Cricetulus griseus: one gene and its partner. The main gene of each other region encodes a partner of the protein of the gene in region 2 in a complex. Links are inferred from orthologs where the notes say so. Each region holds a gene or a part of one and is shown on either strand. Other genes may lie near its edges.

What was found. Proteins that work in one complex are often made in the same cells at the same time.
Region 1: Zbp1 (region 2) and interferon-inducible protein AIM2 share a complex: the UniProt entries of both Homo sapiens proteins name them as parts of the AIM2 PANoptosome complex. The link is inferred for Cricetulus griseus from reciprocal best matches to the Homo sapiens genes ZBP1 and AIM2.

Annotation. Positions count from the first base shown.
Region 1 is NC_048598.1:19,526,840-19,531,005, forward strand, and holds part of interferon-inducible protein AIM2, read right to left. Parts: intron 3,925-4,166; coding exon 3,505-3,924; intron 1,385-3,504; coding exon 1,190-1,384; intron 447-1,189; coding exon 417-446; 3' UTR 1-416. UniProt on the Homo sapiens protein: Sensor component of the AIM2 inflammasome, which mediates inflammasome activation in response to the presence of double-stranded DNA (dsDNA) in the cytosol, leading to subsequent pyroptosis.
Region 2 is NC_048599.1:6,097,703-6,103,583, reverse strand, and holds the start of Zbp1 (Z-DNA-binding protein 1), read right to left. Parts: upstream 3,538-5,881; 5' UTR 3,406-3,537; intron 3,193-3,405; 5' UTR 3,032-3,192; coding exon 2,992-3,031; intron 1,285-2,991; coding exon 1,048-1,284; intron 145-1,047; coding exon 1-144.

The sequences.
Region 1 (4,166 bases), on a different chromosome or scaffold from region 2:
GATAATCAATACTTGGGTAGAAGATTGTCAGGTCAGTTAAAGCTCAAGCCTCTGAATCTCATGTCTGAAGTACATGGTATCTTCAGCAATATAAACTTATCATCACCTCTGGGGGACAATAGCAATAGAATAGCCTGTAATGTTTGGGGAGTCTCTTAGACAACCCTGACCAACTACTCATAAGAGGGTTTCTCATGCCTGGTGTTGGGATTTTATTAGATTTTTGTATTTGTATTGTTTTGCTATACATCTGACAGAGTATTTTTGTAGTATTTATCCTTTTTGAACTAACAGGATAAGATGATGAGGCTGTAAACTGCTCTCCTCAGGCAACTCAATCTGGTTCAAGAAGCAGTATTAAAATTCTTCAACAAAATGCCTTTTAGATGAGTTGACTTCAATGCACACTTTTCTTCTCATTTTTTCGGCTTTGTGGCCTTAATAACCTAGGTGGAGAAAAAGATGTAGACTGAGATGTCATTGATAAATTAAGTCTTCTCTACTTCCAGTTCCTGTGTTCTGGAATGTACCTCCCTTCTTATTGTATCTACTCACCCTCCCCCGTAGCCCCTTAATTCCTTCACTCTTAGATGACTCTCCTGAAGTATATATGCTCCAAACACACATCCCTACATAATAAGAGCATAGATAAAGTTTTCTCAGGTCTCTATATAAAACCTACAGAGAGAGACAACAGTCCATACAAACACTGTTGAGTGGAGGGGGAGACAGCAAAGCTGTGTCTATAGGATAACAACAAGGGTGTGATAGCTTACTTAACTGCCCTGGACTATGATATATGCACGAATGGTTGGACTGCCTCAGAAATTTGTTTTCCAGGAGTTTACAGTCTGACTTGACTTCTAACAGCATCTGTCACAATATTTGTGCAACTTCGCACAAGTTGCCTTCATTAGACTTAGACTGTGTTCAAGAAAACTCACTGTGGAGTTGAAAGGATGGGAGGGGGAGAAAATTGTATGTGAAACCTTTGAGTTTGTAATTGTGTGCCTAGGATGTGAATGTTCTAAAGCCAGGCTCCTTGGTTCTGTGAGATCTGTGAGATGCAGATGTGCTCACTACATACTGGGGCTCTTCTCTATCATATCCTGTTCAACAGCCTCTTTTCAGATTTCTGACAGAAAACATAAAATAATGTCCTCTTCTAGGAACTGACATCCTTCCAAACCTTAAAGAAGCTGTGGGGTCCCGATTTCAGCTGTATTTTCTCTCCACTTTTTGACACCTCAAAGAAGATGAGTCTAAGTTTATCTCCTTCTTCGCATTTTACTTGGTTCTGGTTTCCAAGCACCAGCACGTCCATCTCCTCCTCTGTGTTGTCATGTATTCTATATAGGACTCTATCCGTTCTTTGCTCTATTATCTGTGAAAGGAAGACAACAACCAAGCTCTGCTGAGATGACTAAGGAAGGGCAGCATGTACATCAATTGTCAGAGGAGACAGGAGCAGCTTTCCAAAGGAAACATGAGGAGCAATTCCAGCTTCCAAACTAGAAGGATTCTACCTAACGGATATTAGCAAGTCCCATTGAAGGGGGTGGGAGAGTCTTACTAAAAGCATGTTGCTTCTTGTGTACATCTTTCTAGTCCCAGGCTTTTTTTCCCTTCTGGGAATCCAGGATGGCTCACAGAAACAACTAGTAGACAGGGAAGATAGGTCTTCTCCAGGGCCAGTATACAGGAGGCAGTCAGGGGAAAAGGTGGCTACCTTGTGGCTAGGAGAAAGGTCACTTAATGAAACAAGTCCAGAGAAAAACTAACTAACAGTAAAAGACCTAGTGAAGAAATTTAAAAGTTAAAAGTCAAGGACAAGAAATCATTCACAATCAAGTCCAAATGATAAGGGACCAGATGCTGGTGACATACATAAAATATGAACAGCATTTGACAGTCAGTTTTATTGACCACATGATTAGACATTATGGGTAGTTGACCAAACAGAACATTCAAAATTGAGAGGTTAAAAAGAGGTATTTTTATGCTTGAAATTTCCAAGGAAGATAATTTTCTCCTGTTACCATTTCTGATGGGACTAGATAGGTCATTTGACTACTGAGTGCAGAAATCAACAAGTTCCCTGTACTAGAATCTATACTAGGCCAGAAAATTTTTCACACAAGCATAGTTTTTCCTGATTCCTGTGTGGTAGTTTGTATGAAAAAGGCCCCCACAGGTTCATAGGGAGTGGCATTATTAGAAAGAATTAGGATATGTGGCCTTGTTGATCTTGCTGTAGGAAATGTGTCCCTGGAGTTGGACTTGGAAGTTTTAGAAGCTCAAGCCGCGTCCAGTGGCTCACTCTCTCTTTCTGCTGCCTGTGGGTCCAGATGTAGAACTCTCAGCTACTTACTTCTTCTGCACCGTGTCTGCCTGAATGTCACCAAGCTCTCTGGCATAGTGATAACGGAGTAAACCTCTGAACCTGTAAGCCAGCCCCAATTAAATGTTCTCCTTTATAAGAGTTGCTGGGGGGTAGCCGGGCGTTGGTGGCGCACACCTTTAATCCTAGCACTCGGGAGGCAAAGGCAGGCGGATCTCTGTGAGTTTGAGGCCAGCCTGGTCTCCAGAGTGAGTGCCAGGATAGGCTTCAAAGCTACACAGAGAAACCCAGTCTTGGAAAACCAAAAAAAAAAAAAAAAAAAAAAAAAAAAAAAAAAAAGGAGTTGCTGGGGTCATGGTGTCTTTTCACAGCAACGGAAACCCTGACAAAGACAACTGGCATCTAGCTAGGATTTCATGCTAACTCTTCCATTATCTTCATTCAATACTAGGTCTTCTAACCCCTGCTCATCAATCCTCTAGTTCATCAATGGGCACACATCTGCTCCAAACAAAAGAGACTTTGAGCACTCAGGAGGCAGAGGCAGGCAGATCTCTGTGAGTTTGAGGCCAGCCTGGTCTTCAAAGAGAGTTCCAGGACAGTTCCAAAACCTATAGAGAAGCCCTGTCTTGAAAACAAACAAACAAACAAAAAGTGACTTAGAATGTGGATGGTAATAAGTGTGTAACAGCAACACAGAGGTGGAAATAGCTGTGTCTGTGTTTCAGAGGTTACAAGGGTAAAAACATAAATAAAAGTGGCTTCAAAATAAACCTTCACTGGCTGTTGTGGCATGCATGTGGATCCCAACACTCAGGAGGCAGAGGCAGGGGAATTTTGGTAAGTACCAGACCAGCTAAAGCTACACAGTATAAGACTCTGTCTCAAAAGACAAAACAAAAAAAAATACATATTAAATAAAGCTTTTGTGAGCTTTGCCCACAAGTTTTGGCAAATTCTCATCCTGCAAATCTTAATTTTATTAAATTGTTTTTTCTGATTGTTAAAATTGTTTAAACCCAATTATTTAATTGATTTTAATTGCTTCATATTTTATATAGGAAGAAAAACATTGAAACATAATTTCTAGAATTCCATTAAAGCTTAGAATAACTATTGTATTCTTTTTCCCAGTCAATACAGAATTGCATACATGGACTTACCTTCTGGACTTTAAAAATCCCATTCACAATTGTTCCAGGAGGCTGAGTCTTCAGCTTCTTAATCATGGGAGTTCTCCCAGCTTTATCTTTGATGTTATTTGGAACACAGACTTGGTGGTCAGCATCAGCCTCAACCACAGTTGAGGAGCTGGTCACCTCTAAGAAGTTATTGTACCAAAGATAGTTTGATATTTTAATTGTTCTCTGTGGGGTAAACTTATCTTTAAACTGTGCATCTAAAACTTTTACAAAGAAAAAATTCGTCTCTGTGGCCACCGTTGCATGGAATATCATTTGCTTCCCTTCCCGAGTTTCACACTCGAAAGGAATCGTAGCTTTCAGCACCAACAAAGCCAGGGGATCCTTCTGTAAACCTTCTCTGATGGCTTCCTGTTCTGCCATGACCCGGGTCTTCTGAGGCTGTGACAACAGAGAAGAGGTGTTAGCTATGGGTCAACGCTGTAACCAAGGCAGTCTTCATTCAAGATAAACCCCAACAAGCCAGAAAAGGTTGAACTGAAGGGAAGATGGAGGAGACAGGAAAAGATCAGACTCGGAATTATCTAGCTTTTTCAAAAGGGATACCTAACGTTTTTATATTCAAGTGGGGCAGTGGAGCTGACTCTGGAGACAGAGTTTCTGAATGAGAAGCCTTCTTTGCC
Region 2 (5,881 bases):
TCCCATCATAGCTCAGGAGGTGCCTGTTCCTCATGGCGTACAGGTGTGGGTTCACCTCTTTGGCTGTCTTCATCCCCAGAGCCTTGGCGATGTGCAGGGCCCTGTGAGGCCCGCTGGTCTCCAGGAATCTGATGATTCTTTCATCTGCAAGTGAGGGGCAGGCGTTCAGTAGGAAGAGGGCCCTGGGCTTGCGTCTGCCCAGCACCCACTGGCTGTAACCTGGGGCGCTTATGAAGCCCAGGGGCATGGTCTTGCTTTGTTTGAGGCCCATGCTCCTACTGGGTACAGTGTCACCTGGAGACCGGATATGTGCATGAAGCTGGCTCAGGCGTGTCAGCGCCTGGAAAATAAAGCACTTCTTATCCATTTGGAGCCTTTGGCTTCTGACACCGAGTCTGGCCTCTGAGATTCTTGCGAAGCCTCGGTGGTGGACATGATCCCAAACACCCTTTCCCCTTGTGCCCCTAAGAGTAGTTTGGGGAGGCCTTTGGTGTGCACTGAGCTGAAGGCCAGGACTCCCTGGAGTTGTGCCTACAACTTTAGGGTCTTGGGGCTGGAGGAAGAAAAATGTGTCCATTGGAGACAGGAGACGCTCTGATCCACTGAGCAACGGGAACACTTCCACAGGACAGCTAGGGGACAGGACATTAGGCTGGGGTCCCAGGGTTTCACATCTGCTTGGGTCACAGCTGCTGGCTGCAGAAGGGCAGGGTCTTGAGGCTGCCTCCTCTCCTGGCTCCAACTGCAGGAGTTGCTGAAGGCTAGGTGGCCTTGGGTACAGCATCAGCAATGGAGCTGTGAGCCCTCTCTGCTCAGTGGCTCCGAGTGAATCCCTACTGTCATTGTGACAATTGCCTGGATTGTGCCTTTACTATTGCTAGTGTCTACCTCACACCTACCACGTACAAGCCCTATTGGTGAAAAGAAATCAAAAGATAAAGAGAGGATGGCAGAGCTCAGATTTGAAAGCCAAGCCTGAACCTGGACTTGCCCATTGTCAAGATGGCCCTTGAGGGGAGTCTGCTGTGCCCCCAAATGACAGATTACCGAGGGTGGGCTGGGCAGTGGGGTCCTCAGGGATTGCAGGAGCCTCATCTCCAGGAGCATCCCTGCCTAAACACCATGTGGCAGGGGCTGGTGAGTGAACTTTTCCCTCCTTCTTTAGGCGGTAAAGGACTTGGTTGAGTGTTTTCTTGGGCACTTGGCACTCCTTTACCAGCTTGGGGAGCTTCACAGAGCCGCCGGCTCCACTCAGTATCTGTAGGATCGTTTGCTCCAGATTGTCTTGGGGGAGGAACAGAGAGAAGAGTCAAGCCCAGCCCCCATTGGAGGCTAGCACCCATCTCCAGAGGTAAGAAAGATACGAGAACCCAGAGCCGACAGCATCGAGGAATCACTGAGAGGCAAGAGTGTCAGACTGAGTGGACCCTGGCCCCATGGCTGAATGGTGGGATGCACTCATACGGCAGAGGAGTGTACATGCTGTCCTGTGTATTGGTGTGGAACCCCAGACAGGTAGGAGCCCTCAGCTCTCAGATGATGGAGCCAAGCCTGGCCCGGAAGCCCCTCCACGCTGCCTGGTGCCTCTTCCAGCCTGTATGGAGAGTCCCTTTCTCTCCATCTCCCATGGATGCCATGGGCATTCCTAGGTCTCCCTTCCCATTCCAGGTGGATCAGGAGCCCTGAAAACGCAGCTCAGATACCTCCCACTTACTTTTTTCTCCCTTACCCCAGCCTCAATGACATCTTCCTGGTAGCATTACTAGTCTCCCAGGTGACCACCAACTCCAGAATGGTTCCCTCCAGCACCCTCTACCTAGAGATCCGATGGACCTCTGCTCCCTGCCCAGCCTCCTCTGCGCCTGACCCCAAGAGCCACCCAAGTTCCACCTCGTGCTCCTTCTGGTTCCTTCCATCTGCCTGCTTCTACCTTCCTTTGTTTTTCCTCTTGAGACAAGGTCTCACCATATATCTCAGGCTGGCCTGGAACTCACAGCAATCCTCCTGCCTCAGCCACCCCCTCCCCTGCTGGGATTATAGGGCTGGGCTTCCACTCTGCTTGCTTTTTCTCTGCTGGGGCGTGTATGTCCTGCAGTGGGCTCTCCTGCCCTCCCTTCTCCCACTGACTCCTAAGGGCACACAGGCAGAGCTTTCTCCAAAGGGTGAGCATGAAGGAATGGATGGTGGTGACTGGCTGGCAAGGAGAGTATTAGGAAGCCACAGGGACCAGGTGAGGGTTAGTTTCTGGTCTTCTCCACCTGGCCCTGAACCTGCCACTGCCCTGGCTCCTCTGCCTTTGAGCAACATGCCCTAGCATGGTGCGAGAATGGAAAAGGGTGACTTTGGGGGCTGCAGAGATGGCTCAGGAGTTAAGAGCAGTGGCTGCCCTTCCAGAGGTGCTGAGTGTGGCTCCCGGGAACCACGGAGCGGCTCACAATCACCTAGAATGAGACCTGGTGCTTCTTTGACCAGAGCACAGCCGTGCATTCAGGCAAAACACTGTATACACAGTAAATAAGCATATCTTTAAAAAAAGTTTCGAAACAATGAAGAAAAGCAGTAAAGTAAATCCTGTCCACAGCTGCACGGCCCCGATAGCCTCGCCTCATACAGTCTTTCACCCACAGCCTCGCACTGCCCTGTAGCGGAGAGAAGAGCATGAACATAGAATCAGAGCCAAATCTTCTTATCAAAACAAAGTCCCCTCTCACAGTTCAGAGCCTGAAGCCCATCGAAGGCCTCAGTGACCTGTCTGTGAGGTGAGAGCTACCACTTGTGCCTGAGGGCTGTTAGGAACCAGCCTAAGCAAGGGTCAAAGTGTGACGCACAGGGTCCCCGAAGCAAGCTAGCTTCTTGTGGTGCCTGCTTCCTGAGCTCTGATGTCCTCAGAATATTGCTGCTGTCTGGGCCAAGCAAAGAATTAGAAGGAGCCTTAGAAACCAGCCCAGGGTCCACGCTGCGTGGGGGAAGGAAGAGGCTCGCCCGGCTTACCTCCTGTGCTCGGATCAACAGCAGCTTCTGCCATGCTCATGGCAACCTCAGGGCACCTTTGGGGCGGGGGGTGGCAGATTCCCGAACTGTGGCCAGGCCTGAGGCCGTGTCCACAGAAGAAGAGCGGCTTCTTGGAGCTGCAGACACCATATGTTTCCACCCCGGAAACGAGCACCCATCTGGCTCCATCCACCCAGCTTTCTGGAGAAAGAGAAAATGAAACTTGGTGGTTCTCGAAAGAAACGTTGAAATCAGGGTGGGGTGAGCAAGTTGGAGCTGAATAAATGACGGGGATGAGAGGAGTCTTGGCCTCTGGGGTGGGAACTGCCTATCTGGACTCCCACTAGGAAAAAGGTACCTACTGCGCATTCCCTACTTGCTGACAGGGCAGGACTAGTACTGTCATCCACATACCTTCTAGAAAAGGAGCCCCTCACTTTCATACATTCTCAAAGAGGTCAGTGGTCCTCGAACAGTTCGGACATCACTCTGTTCCAATTACAGACTAAGGGACTGAGCTCACAGAGATGGCCTCGTGCCCACAACTCAGCCTACAATAACCCTGAATCTGGGTCCCAGCTGCAGGAGGGAGGTCCTTGGCACCGGTTAGCATTAGTGCATAGGGCATGACAGGAGCAGGAAATGGAGACCAGAAGGAGGTATATATGTACCTGCAAAATGTCTGCAAAGCAAGCTGCAGGTCCCCAGTCAGCCTTGTCACTGGACAGGCCACGGCCAGGCCAGTTCCACACAGCCAGTTCCACCGGCCTGTGCATGGGGAAACTTTAAAATTTCCAAATGATTTTTATGACTTCCAGGGGGAAACCCAGAGCCTGCAGATGCAGCTAAGGGAAACAGAAAATTGTACAGCCCGTTGAGCCCCCCAAATAAATAAGGTCACCCTTTAAACACTCAGCTGAGCCAGTTGAGGGACATCAGGCTCCCTAGAGGGGCTATTTGGGGACCAACCACTAGGTGGTGCCCTCTCATCAACCGGCTCTTGCCTGGGGGTCTTGCTTGGTCCTTGGCCAAGGTGGCTCTGGCCCTAGAGGGCTGGGCTTCAGGACATGCCATGAGAACCTGACACTGGGGTTCTGCTGTGAACATCTCAGCATTCCCTATTCTTTATTGTTTTTAATTTTTGAGACAGGGTCCCACTCTGTAGCCAAGCCTGAATTCAGATTCTTGACCCCTCCATTATCATTTCTTGAGTGGCAGGACTGTATCACAATACCTCTTGGACAACCCCCCACCTCGTCCCCCCAGACAAGGTTTCACTGTGTAGCCCTGCCTATCCTGGAACTCGCTCTGTAGACCAGGTTGGCCTGGAACTCACCGAGATCCGCCTGCCTCTGCCTCCCGAGGGCTGGGATTAAAGGCGTGCTCCACCATTGCCTGGCCAAAATCCTTCTAAACTTTTGGATTATTTCTTATTCTTTGTCTTTGTTTAAGAAAAACCTCAAGCCAATTTTCAATGCTGGGATTATCCCAAGCCTCCACAGCTGTGGACTGGGCAGATGGACCTTTTCCCTCTTGTGCATGACACAAGACTCCAGGTACTCCAGATTTGGTGCAGCCACCCGGCTTCTTTTTAAACTGTTGCTCTGCCATTTGTAGCCTCTGTGCTTAAGTTTTTCAAGGGTTGCTGGAGTTCCACCTGTCACACATGCTCTCCTTCTGGCAGGAAGGAGCAAAGGACGGGTATCCTAGGCAGTTTCAGCAGGCAGCTGAGTACAGGGCCATCTGAGGGAGTCTCGGTTGCAGGGTTGCCCAGGTCTGATTGGCTGTGGATGTGTCTGTGAGAGAATTATCACGGTTGGTGTGAGAGGACCCAGAACACCGTGGGCAGCATCATTCCTAGGCTGTGAATAAAAAGCTGGTTGAGCATGAGCCAGGAAGCAACATCCTCAACGATCTTTGTTTCGGGTTCTCACAGCTCTTCTTTCTGAGATGGGCTGTGAACTGTACGCAGAAATAAACCCTTTCCTCTCCAGCTGGGTTTTGTTTGTTTCTGTCATAGTGTTTATCACAGCCGGAAAAACTCAACAAGCACCATGGACATCTCCCTTTAAAGATCACATCCTGCAGGCCCCAAACACTACTTCAGATCACAGCAATATCTATCGCAACAGATGTTGGCAGAGACCTAGGTGTCCTTGTCAACTCAAGGCTCTTCCTCTGCATGGAGGCCGTCTCCTGCCCCACCCAGCATTTCCCAGCTTCTTTCTCTAGCAGATGCTACTCTGAGTCTGATGGGGTTCAAGGCCAATGGGGAGGGAAGGAGGGAGGGAGGGAGGGAGGGAAGGAGGGAAGAAAGGAAAGAAAGCAGGTAGGTGCTTCCTCCTCCAGGCTAGGAAGGGCCCAGACATACAAATGGCATGCCAAGCTGCTCTCTTTATCCTGGAGAGCACGCTCCTTCCAAATGGCTCATGTTTTTCTAGAAACTATTAGAACTCTCCGCCCAAAGCAGGGGATAATTACATGTTACTGATCTCGAGTCTTCAGGTTTTGTGATCTCTCTTTTAAAAGAGAGATATTTTTACCACATATTGTGTTGGCAAAACCCACCTCCTTCCCTCCCCATAACCAGGCTCTGGAAGGAAGCAAGGAAGGAAGGAAGGAAGGAAGGAAGGAAGGAAGGAAGGAAGGAAGGAAGATAGGAAGAAAGGAAGGAAGGAAGAAAGGAAGAAAGGAAGGCAGGCTGCAAACTTTGTTTGGTCAGAGGTCAGACATAGCTGGTGACAGCAAGGGGATAGTTTATGGCAGGTGTGTTGGGGTGATGAGCCCCCTCTTCAAATCCCTGGGGGTGGGCGTCCTGCAAGACAGAGCAATCAGTGGGTCTCAGTGTTACTCTGTCCACTGGAGGCTAGCACGCTTGGGCATCTCTTCT